3 linked regions of the Sus scrofa genome follow. The protein of the gene in region 2 interacts with the protein of the main gene of each other region in a pairwise test. Links are inferred from orthologs where the notes say so. Each region holds a gene or a part of one and is shown on either strand. Other genes may lie near its edges. The genes, in order: STAP1, RETREG3 and MAP1LC3A.

Region 1 (3,749 bases), on a different chromosome or scaffold from region 2:
CGCAGATGGGGCTTGGATGTGACGTTGCTGTGGTTCTGGTGTATGCCAGCAGCTGTAGCTCTGATTAGATCCCTAGCCTGGAAACCTCCATATGCCACAGGTGCACCCCTAAAAAGACAAAAGGACAAAAAAAAAGAGCTTCAAGAGCTGAGCAAATAGATTTTTTTAACTTGTAATGCTTTAACAAATGTCATCGCCTACTCAGTTTTTTTTTTTTTTTTTTTTTTTAGGGAAGAGGGATTAAAAGTTAACTTTGAAATCAGGCAACCCTGGCTTCCACTCTACTCCACTAATATAAAGGGCAGGTTAATTAAACTATAACTTTCTCGATTCTCTTGTTTTTAAAAGGGGAATAACATTAAAGTTGTTGAGATATGGATTAATTCCTTTTAAGACCTAGTAGAAATGCCTAGAACATAGCAAGAATTCAATAAATAATGCTATGAGTGTTATTATGGAGATTTTTAGACTTGACCTAGTAGAAGTTTTGTAAACTGTGCTACATTATATAATTTGGTCTCAGATTTGGAATAGATAACACACACTACCATTTATTGAGCACATAGTGTACAGCAAGTTCTACCCTAAATACTCTCCATGCAGTAACCTATTTAATTTTTAGAACATTCCTATGAGAAAACATTTTATAGACAACAGAACTGGGACAGACTGTAAGTAACTTGCCCAAGATCACACCCCCATTAAATGACAGAGCTGGGGGTGAACCCCTGGATTCTGACTCCAGAACTGAGCACTAAATCACTGTACTCTTTTTACCTTTCCATGAGAACTTTTAGCAAGTGCAATCACAGAAGTAAAGTTCCATATGTACAATCATCTTCCCTCCATTACTGGAAATAGTAATTCTCAGAGGCATTTTGAGGAACCTGAAATGTGATGACATATACTGGTATGCAATGCAGGGGGTGTTGGCAATGAACTGGTTTGTTCTAGGGAGAAAATGGAGCAGCACCCTTATGAAAACAAAAAGTTACGGAGAGTCCGCATCACCCCAAATTTTCAGTGCTCTCTGCATCTGTCGTAATACTTCATAGCTCCACCACATTTTTGGCATCCTAAAATAAGGTTGCTAGTTGATGGAGTAATGTTTATAAAACCCAGACTTTGTCCTTACAGATCCCTTTACATCCAAAATACATCAAGATCAATCTTAATGAACTGCTATGACAGTTGACTTGCACCTAGGTAAGTGGTATGTGTGTGTTTATGTATTTATGAATTATGTGTATTAGTGTGTATATGGAGGAAAAGGTATACAGAAATTTAACTTGAAAAAGAAGTAGAAACTTTTAGTTATTTATGATTTTATGTTGTAGATAATTTCAAATTTGTGATTAGTAAAATTCTATTAAAGAACATTTTATTTTATTTTATTTTTTAAATTAATTTAATTTTATTTTTTAAATTAATTTTATTTATTTATTTATTTTGTGTGTGTGTGTGTGTGTGTGTGTGTGTGCTTTTGCCATTTCTTGGGCCACTCCCGCAGCACATGGAGGTTTCCAGGCTAGGGGTCGAATCATAGCTGCAGCTGCCGGCCTATGCCAGAGCCACAGCAACAAGGGATCCGCCGGATCCTTAACCCACTGACAGGAACTCCTCTATTAAAGAACATTTTAGACCTTACCATGACATTTCAAAAATCAGTCTGGGGGTTCCTGTCATGGCACAGTGGTTAACGAATCCGACTAGGAACCATGAGGTTTTGGGTTTGATCCCTGGCCTAGGTCAGTGGGTTAAGGATCCTCCATTGCCGTGAACTGCGGTGTAGGCCGCAGACAAGGCTCACATCCAGAGCTGCTGTGGCTCTGGCGTAGGCCAGTGGCTACAGCTCTGATTAGGCCCCTAGCCTGGAAACCTCCATATGCCTCGAATGCGGCCCCAGAAAAGACAAAAAGACAAAAAAATAAAAAATAAATAAAAAATCAATCTGTAGAGTTTCCTTGTGACTCAGCAGGTTAAGAATCCAGCATTATCACTGCAGTGGTTTGGGTCACTTAGTGGCATGGGTTCCACCCCTGGCCCAGGAACATTTACATGCCCTGAGCGCAGCCAAAAATAAATAAATAAATAAATAAATAAATTTGTTCTAGAGATTATAACATAGCTGCAGTCACAACTTAAAGTTTGCTTTATTTCTAATTGACTTAATCTGGCAATATGTCCATCAACTGGTGAATGAATAAATAAGTCATAGTGGGCCCACACTATGGAATACTCCTCAGCAACAAAAACAAATTACTGACACACAACAACACAGATGAACCTCAAAAGTTTCATCTGAAAGAAGCCAGACATCAAAGGCTATCTGCTGTAGCAGTGCACGTATGTGACTACATAAAACTGTAAGAACAGAAAGAGATATTGTTTACCAGGGCATGAGGCCAGATGAGGAAGAAGATATTGACTCCAAAGAGCCAGGAGGGAACTTTTTGCAGTGATGGAAATAATTTATGCCTTGATGATGATGGTGGTTATATGACTCCATGTATTTGTCAAAACTCTTAGAACTGTGCCCCTAAAAAAAGGGTGACCTTTGCTGTAAATTATACCTCAATAAACTTGACTTGAGAAATTAAGAGCAAGAGAGGGAAACACATAAACCAAATGCAATGTGTGAATTTTGACCAGAGTCTGGTTCAGATCAAAGAAGCTATATGGGTTGGGTAATTTGCTCTAGGAAACCAGCACCATGGTGTCCAGCTGCAAGATTGGCTATCCACCCTCAAAAGCAACCTGGCCAGTTTAGGAGCCAAATGCCCTGGATTGCTGGACTCTGGGGCCAGTTATCTGCACCTGGAGGTAATGGACAGGATTTTGTTCCCAGCATCACCTTTGGTCACACTGTGGTGCAAAGCTCTGATACAAAGCTCTGAAGGCATCTTGGCCAGGACCATTTCTCTGACATGCACATGATGGTATCCAGGCCAGAACACTGGGTAAAGCCAATGGCTGTAGCAGGCACCAGTCAATACATGTTTCATCTTGAGTCTACTGAGGACCTTGGGGCTTTGATTAAAGACATTCAGGAGAATGGAAGGAAGGTTGGCCTTGCTACCAAACCAGGAACTACACTTGAGTATTTCGCACCTTGGTTATGACAGTGGAACCTGGGTTTGGAGGGCAGAAATTCATGGAAGATATGATGGCAAAGTTTCACTTTGAGGACCCAATTCCTGTCTTCGGACATAGCGGTTGATGAGGAAGTAGGTCCTGACACCACCCATAAGTGAGCTGAGGCAGGAGCTAAAATGACGGTGTCTGGCTGAGCCATAGTGAGGAGTGAAGACCCCAGATCTATGATCAACCTGTTAAGAAAGCTTTGCTCAGCAGGTAAACAGCTCAACATAGTATTCGAGAGGACTCAGGTTCATCTCTGGCCTCATTCAGTGAGTTAAGGATTCAGTGTTGATACAAGGTTCAGCAAAGTTTGCAGATATGTCTCAGATCCAGTGTTTCTGTGGCTATGGTGTAGGCTGGCAGCTGCAGCTCCGACTCGACCCCTAGCCTGGAAACTTCCATACGCCATAGGTGTGGCCCTAGGAAGGAAGGAAAATTTGTTCAGAAGCTGCTCAGAAACATGCTCTCCACTAATGAAACCTCTAGGAGTCCCAGGTTTCTGCTCATGAGATCTTTTTACTGGAAAATAAAAATACTGACTACCAAATCATACTACAATGAAGGCAGTGATGCTTTTCTGAGGAATATTCATTCCTATGACTAAAATA
Region 2 (3,749 bases):
GTTGTTGTTACTATTTCTTGGGCAGTCTCTTAATATTACATAGATGGCTTAGAAAAAAGAATTTTTCTTAGCTCATGTCTCTCTCTTTCTACACTCTTACATCCTCCATCTGGCTTCATCTCTCTCTAGGAAATCATAAAAATGGGGTTCTTCTGCCAGGGAGTAACAGCAAATGACCTGGGAGAATCCGCTGGCCCAGTTGTTGCCAGCTCCTCCTCCATGCTCCGACAGGTAGATGTTCTCTGGGTTGTAGAGCTTGGCATAGGGGGAATTGAGGATGGAGTGGATCACCCGCGGCTCCAGGTCCAGCAGCACCGCCCTGGGGATGTAGTGCTCATCATCCGCCTGTCAAGGGGAGTCCAGGAGGGGGCACAGTCAGCTCGGCCCGCCCAGTCTTCCAGTCCTCCCAACTCTGGCTCCTGCTCGCCCTCCCTCCTCAAGCCAGCCGCCCTGGCCACTCTGTTCAACGGGTTTCCTAGTACCAAGCCACTGCCCTTCCCTTCGGGCCCCCTGGGCCACTGCCAGCCCTGGTCAAGTTGCTGGGGGCACCTGGTAGAAGAAGACGTCCTTGCGGTCAGTGCCCTCGGTGGCGAACTCCTCCACGATGCCCTCGGGGCTGATGCCATGCTCGGCGCACAGTTGTTTCCAGAACTCGAACCCAACTGGGGGTGGGGGCATAGGCAGGCGGGGGAGAAAGAGGATATCTGGTTCTGGGCAGGTTCCAACGAGAAGCTGGGGGCCTGAGCGCCTGGGACCAGGGATAGGAGGTCAATCCTCGGGGGTATCCCGTGTCAGAGGACAGGGCTATATGTCAGGGACCCCGCAGGGGAGGGCCTTTCGGGGTTGGGCAACTGGGCACTGGGTCAGGCATGTCCCGCCTTCGGAGAACTACGATTCTGGGAAGGGCAGATGGAGTCCAGGATCTCAGAGCGAGATACCATAGAGAATAAAAAACCTGGCTAGTGGAAGGACCGGAAGTTCGCTCACTCTGATTGCCGCACTGGCCCAACTGTAGGGTGATGATCTCCCTCGGCATCGCTCCTCAGGCGCGGGCCTTGCAGCAGCTCCCGCCAGCAAAGCCGCCACTCGCTAGCCCGCTAGCAGCACGACGCAGGCGCCAAAACAACCTGCTCCGCCCACGAACTCTCTCGGTTCCAATGAGAAGTGAGTTCTGGTGATGGCACTTCCTTATTCATTCGGCCTCAGTCTTGCAGATTGCGCGTGCGCGGCTCCGGATTGGTGCACTCGGGACGTACTTTGACGCAGTTTGCTTCCCACTGGGTGGACGCGAGCTAGAGCCTAGGCGCAGGCGCAGTGTTGAGGGAAGCGGCCTCCCCAGCCGAATCGCGCACCTGCGCAGTCGGCGTTATTGTGACTGTCGGGCCGTGGCCCCGGATGTTGTGGCTGCCGGGGGGAGATGGCGGAGGCAGAGGGGGTAGTTGTGGCCCCAGGCCCTGCTTCGGGGCAGAGTTCCAGAGGCCGCCGCACTATGTCGGGCTCCTGCGAGCGGGACCAGCAGGTTGAGGCGGCGCAGCGGGCCCTGGTGGAGGTGCTGGGGCCTTACGAGCCTCTGCTGAACCGGGTGCAGGCAGCCCTGGTGTGGGAGCGGCCAGCCAGGAGCGCCCTGTGGTGCCTGGGGCTGAACGCGGCTTTCTGGTGAGAGAACTGGATCCTCGGAAACCCTTCGAGGCGCGAAATCATCAGGTTTCTCTAGGGCTTTATCTCTCACCTCTCCTGTTTCTTCGCTGCACTGACTCCTTCCTGTACCTGCCTGATTTCTGCCTCAACTCCTTCCACTCCGTCCCGCGTGCGGCTTTGGCACCGCAGTTCTCCCCAGAGCCTTCCAGTGACCAGGAGCTTCTAGTAACCTCTTGAGCCGCTCGCAGTGAGTGAGGGCGCCTCGTTTTAGCCAGGGGAAAACTGTGTTCCTTTAAGGCCATCATTTCTCTTCTCTTGTTTGCTCAAAGGTGCTTTGAAGATTGTCTCCAGAGATTTTAGTAGTTATTATTTGGATAGATGTGTGAGGCGTGAGATCTTCAGCGTGAGATCTTCAGAAGGTATGCATAGGTGTGATGCGAAAACAAGTTTGAGCAATCTGAATTAGCATGTTAGACACCCTTTCTCTCACTCGGGGAAGTTTGTGAAGCCTGAGCGTCAGTAAGAGCCTCCATAGCTGCAACGTGAGAGAGAATTATGAGCCTTTAAAGAACAGTTATAGAAATAATGATTGTGAGATTTCACTCATTTCAAAGCCACTTATGATGGCCACTCCTCCCTGTTCCGAGGAATTAGAGAGGCATCCTTAGCCACAGTATATAGGCAGGGAAATTGAGGGTGTCTAAGAGTGTATGTGAGTTTTCCTGAGCTGGAAAAGTGGGGATGTAAATATGCTTTAAGAATCTGTATGTGTCATGCTCAGTGAAAATGGAACTGCTGCTTCTCTGAATTGTCATCACCTAAAATGGACTTTGATCTTCATAGGGTCTGCCAAGCATATTTTGGATTTATCCATAACTAGGGAAGTATTATTGATCAAATTCCAAGGAAACTGCAGTGGAGGGGGGCTTCTACAGCTGAATGAAATAGAGCTGTTCTGGATGAGCGTGAAACAGTAAAGTGTGTATTTCCAAATTCTTTTTTGTTTTTGCTAAAAGTAGCTTTCCTCTTGAAATTCTTGGTTTTAAAACCAAAACATTTATTATCCTTTGTCTGAAAGATTCACAGTAGGCTGGAGGAAAGCAAATAGTCCCAAGTTCATTGACAGCAAGACGCAGTATTGAGCTATTACATTAAACTCACAGTTTGAAGGGGTCTGAGGTTAAAGGTGTCACAGCAGTCTCTGGCATTAGTTGCTTCTAGAGTCTTGCTCAAACTTGATGAACTCTTCCTACAGCATTCAGTTATTTTTGGTAACGCTTCTTTCTTGATCTTCAGGTACCTACTCCTGAACCCCGTCACTATAGCACCTCATTCTAGAGCATCTTTCAAAATGACCTTTTCTTCTCATCTCCCTATCCCAACCGCTAACCTCAGACCATATAGTGAAAACTTCATTTCCTACATTGGGATCGTACTCCTAGGAAAAAAGGTTGATCTTCAGTAAACCAGTTTGTCTCAAAATGTGACTGATTGATAAACAAAAGCTTTATCAGGATTTAAATGAATCCTGATAAACCAAGAGCTTATTAATGCAGATAGGTCAGTAGCATACATGTTGTTATTTTTGAGGAGAGGACTTTCCACCCTTGCCTGAGAGAGATTTTCAGAGTAGAGTGTGGGGTTGAGATCTGCACATAGGAGCCCCCAGACACATCTTTAAATGTTACTGTTACCTTTAATTTGCTGGCCTCCAATAGTATTCACTTGAGTTTACTAATAGGCTATGTTTAGAATCTCACTCAGATCCACTTTTTCTACTCTCTCTTGAAGCTGTTGTTGTGGTTGGTCTTTATCTCTGGCATTTCCTGGTAGCTTGCCTGCTGTGTATACGGAAAGCAGTTATTCTTGTTACATTCCCATCCGGCTCTAAGCAGGTGGGGGAGAAATGCAGCAAAATGAGGGTGTGACTCCTGAGAGTTGAAGAGCAATTGTGTATGTCATTTGTGGAGAGGACTCACCTGTGAAGGGGACAGAATGATTGGCAGTGTTAAGAACCCAGAGGCTAGGGTAGTTTAGCATTGGAGTTCACAGGATTGTTTGTTTTAGGAAATGAGGTTCTGTGGAAGGTAGTTTGAGGTTCAAAATAGAAG
Region 3 (3,110 bases), on a different chromosome or scaffold from region 2:
GCCTGGCTGGGCACAGGGCTGCACGGACCTCAGGGGGCGAAAGGCCCAGAAGCTGGGCCAAGCCCTCTAGCCAGCGTTGCCAGCAGGCAAGCCCTGGGGCAGATGAGGTTTGAGTCCAGGGTCATGAATATCTGGCACCAGTGAGGAGCCAAGGCTGGCAGCAAGGCCTGTGGGGCGGAGCCAGGAGTCTCCACCTGGCCCCCACTGTGTGGCTCTGCACACCAGGAGCCCCTCCCAAGCAGGAAAGGGGAAGAAGCAGGTGAGCAGGGTTTGTTAGGCTGTGGCTACTTAATAAATGTTTCTTTTGTTATGAAAACGTCTACCTGGAACCATGCTGCCCTCGTGGAAGAGGTGGGCTTGGCCTCTAGTACCCCCACGATGCACTATACACAGGCGTGGGTTTCCTGAATGAGCCCTGAGTCCACAGCACACAAGTCTGTGCACCAGTGAGAGGACAACGGTGGGGGCAGCCCCACCCACAGCCCTCCCCACTCCCCAAGCAGCTGGAGGCAAAGGGCCAGGCAGGCCTGAGCAATCTTTATTCTGCAAAGGGACAATGACCACAGAGCCATACACCATGTCAAGACCAGGTGAGCCAGGACCCAGTCCTTCAGGGGTGGGCAGATCCAGGCATGGGCAGCGCCTCAGGTTGGGGAGGGACAGGTGGGCAGACAGGCAGGGGTCTAAAAAAAAGACAAACCACACAGGGCAGGGGTGCTGGGGGCTGCTTCCCACTCTTCCCCCTCCCAGCCAGCACCCGGAGGGGCAACCCTAATATGACTGGGCCAGAATCCATCCAGGGGCAGAGTAGGGGTGATAGGTGCCCTCTGGCTGGGTGGCAGCATCCCTGTCCAACCCACCAGGGGCAGGGGCAGAGACAGCTTAGTTCCAGTGCCAGGAGCTCCCTGGGCAGAGCCTGACAGGGCCCCCGACTCCCAGCCAACACCCCCTACTGCTGGCTCAGAAGCCGAAGGTTTCCTGGGAGGCGTAGACCATGTAGAGGAAGCCATCCTCATCCTTCTCCTGCTCATAGATGTCCGCGATGGGCGTGGACACGCTCACCATGCTGTGCTGGTTCACCAGCAGGAAGAAGGCCTGCGTGGGGTTCAGCTGCAGGCGGCGCCTGAGGTGGGCGGGAGGGCAAGCCAAACGTGAGGGGCCTGGCCGCTGGGTGAGTGTAGCCCTCACCCCCTACCCACCCTGACTTTGATTCTCCCCCTCACACCCATCCCAGCCCCTTCTAGAAGCTCTCACCTCTGACAAGATACTGATCCCAGGCCTGACCTTGACCGTTCCCAACCTCCCCAGAAGAGGGCTTCGGCACCCCGTCCCATGTCCCACCCCCACCCCTTCCTTCTCAGAAGGACCCAGACCAATGCCTGATCCCAGCAGGACCCAAGTCCCCCTCCTGACAGCTGCTGCCAGCGCACCGGATGATCTTGACCAACTCGCTCATGTTGACATGGTCTGGGACCAGGAACTTGGTCTTGTCCAGGACTGGCAGCTGCTTCTCACCCTTGTAGCGCTCGATGATCACCTGGGAGTGAGGTGGGGCGGGGACGCGTGAGCGGGAGGCTGGACCTGGGGCCAGGGGACGGGGGCGGGGTATGCGGTAGGACTCACCGGGATCTTGCTAGGGTGCTGGTCGCGGATCTGCTGCACCTCCTTACGGCGGTCGGCTGCAGACAGCAGTCGGGGATGAGGCCAGCCGAGGTTCTCCTTGGGTTCCGCCCCACTAGTCCCCGAGGGGCGGCCCCCGACCCCGCCCCGCCCCCCGCCAAGCCCCAGGCGGGTGGAGGTAGGGCCAGGGCCGGGGCACAGCACTGGGATGGGAGGCGGAGGCCCGGGCCCAGGCCCTAGCCTGCTTCCCAGCCCAGGGGTCCAACCCGAGCTTGACGTCATGAAGCTGACGTCACCTGCGGCAGACAAGTAGATCTGCCAACACCCCCGACCCCCCCACGCCCCCACCCCTAGCGCTCGCAGATCGCCAGTCGGGCCTCACCGAAGCTCCGCCGCTGCTTGAAAGGCCGGTCTGAGGGCATCGCACAGGCCCGGCGGAGCGCGCAGGCCGGGGCTCCCGGTCGCGCGAGGCGGGGAGGTGGCTGTGGTTTGGGGGCTCCGGGGGCTCCGCGTCTCCCGCTCAAGGGCTCTGGGGCTCGCGCTGAGCCCAGCGGCGGCGGCTCGGGGAGGTAACTCGCCCGGGTGACGTCAGGTCATAACATTCCTTAAAGGGGAGGCCAGCGCGCCGTTCCCATTGGGCCGACGCAAAATCTGCCCGCCCGGGCCCGTGACATCACGGCGCAGGGAGCCTGCATTCCCGCCCCCACCCCCAACCCCACACTGCGAAGGAGGGGAGGCGCCCAGTGAGCGTCACAGTCCTGTGACGTCACGGCCTGTGCAGGGGCAGGCGAGGTGGGCTCCCCCAGGCCCAGGGTGAGGGGAGAATGGACGCCAGCAAGGCCAGGGAGCAGGCTGGCTGGTCTGGCGGTGGGGAGAGCTGGCCAGGCTGCGGCATAGCATCCTTCTGTTTCCACTGTAACCAAGGCGTCAGACAGCCCTCGCTCAGAGTCTTTTCTGTTCCAGGGACCGTATGAGGCATTGGGGATGACAACAGTGAACCAGAAGTCTTCATCCTGGAGCATATGGTTAGAGAAAGAAAAAGGTAGTGGTCATTGTGGGGGGTTGGGTGAGCATTAAAACATGAAGACAGCAAGACACTGAAAAGGAACCTAGAGGTTTTAGAAGGAATTTCTAGAATTGAAAAACAGCTACTGAAATTCAGGTCTCAGAAGGACGAGGCAAGCAAGCCCTGTTAGATATAGCAAAAAAGAAAATCACTGAAGTGGATGAGAGAGCAGAAGCAATTACCTGGAAAACAAACCATGTTTACATGGTATAAAATAAGTGACAGAAATGGCAAAGTGAGAATTCACAGGTCTAATTAGCATTCCAGAAGGAGAGAAAAGACCGTGAAGCTCTGGAGAAAAACTTCCAAAATTGATTAAAAACCAGGATCCTCATATAACATCCAGAACAGAATAAATAAAAACTCATCTAGACACTCTGTAGTGAATTTGCCCAACTCTAAGGAGAAGAAATTAGAAAAATGG

What was found.
Region 1: the proteins of RETREG3 (region 2) and STAP1 interact in binary tests that used the Homo sapiens proteins (3 or more experiments, as listed by UniProt). The two-hybrid records come from large-scale screens. The link is inferred for Sus scrofa from reciprocal best matches to the Homo sapiens genes RETREG3 and STAP1.
Region 3: the proteins of RETREG3 (region 2) and MAP1LC3A interact in binary tests that used the Homo sapiens proteins (3 or more experiments, as listed by UniProt). The link is inferred for Sus scrofa from reciprocal best matches to the Homo sapiens genes RETREG3 and MAP1LC3A.

What each region holds. Positions count from the first base shown.
Region 1 is NC_010450.4:65,317,881-65,321,629, forward strand, and holds the start of STAP1 (signal-transducing adaptor protein 1), read left to right. Parts: upstream 1-980; 5' UTR 981-1,206; intron 1,207-2,713; exon of another isoform or gene 2,714-3,419; intron 3,420-3,749. UniProt on the Homo sapiens protein: In BCR signaling, appears to function as a docking protein acting downstream of TEC and participates in a positive feedback loop by increasing the activity of TEC.
Region 2 is NC_010454.4:20,219,687-20,223,435, forward strand, and holds the start of RETREG3 (protein FAM134C), read left to right. Parts: upstream 1-1,306; 5' UTR 1,307-1,417; coding exon 1,418-1,656; intron 1,657-3,749. UniProt on the Homo sapiens protein: Endoplasmic reticulum (ER)-anchored autophagy regulator which exists in an inactive state under basal conditions but is activated following cellular stress.
Region 3 is NC_010459.5:37,956,914-37,960,023, reverse strand, and holds MAP1LC3A (microtubule-associated proteins 1A/1B light chain 3A), read right to left. Parts: upstream 2,195-3,110; 5' UTR 2,043-2,194; coding exon 2,003-2,042; intron 1,680-2,002; coding exon 1,624-1,679; intron 1,538-1,623; coding exon 1,431-1,537; intron 1,124-1,430; coding exon 961-1,123; 3' UTR 519-960; downstream 1-518. UniProt on the Homo sapiens protein: Ubiquitin-like modifier involved in formation of autophagosomal vacuoles (autophagosomes). While LC3s are involved in elongation of the phagophore membrane, the GABARAP/GATE-16 subfamily is essential for a later stage in autophagosome maturation.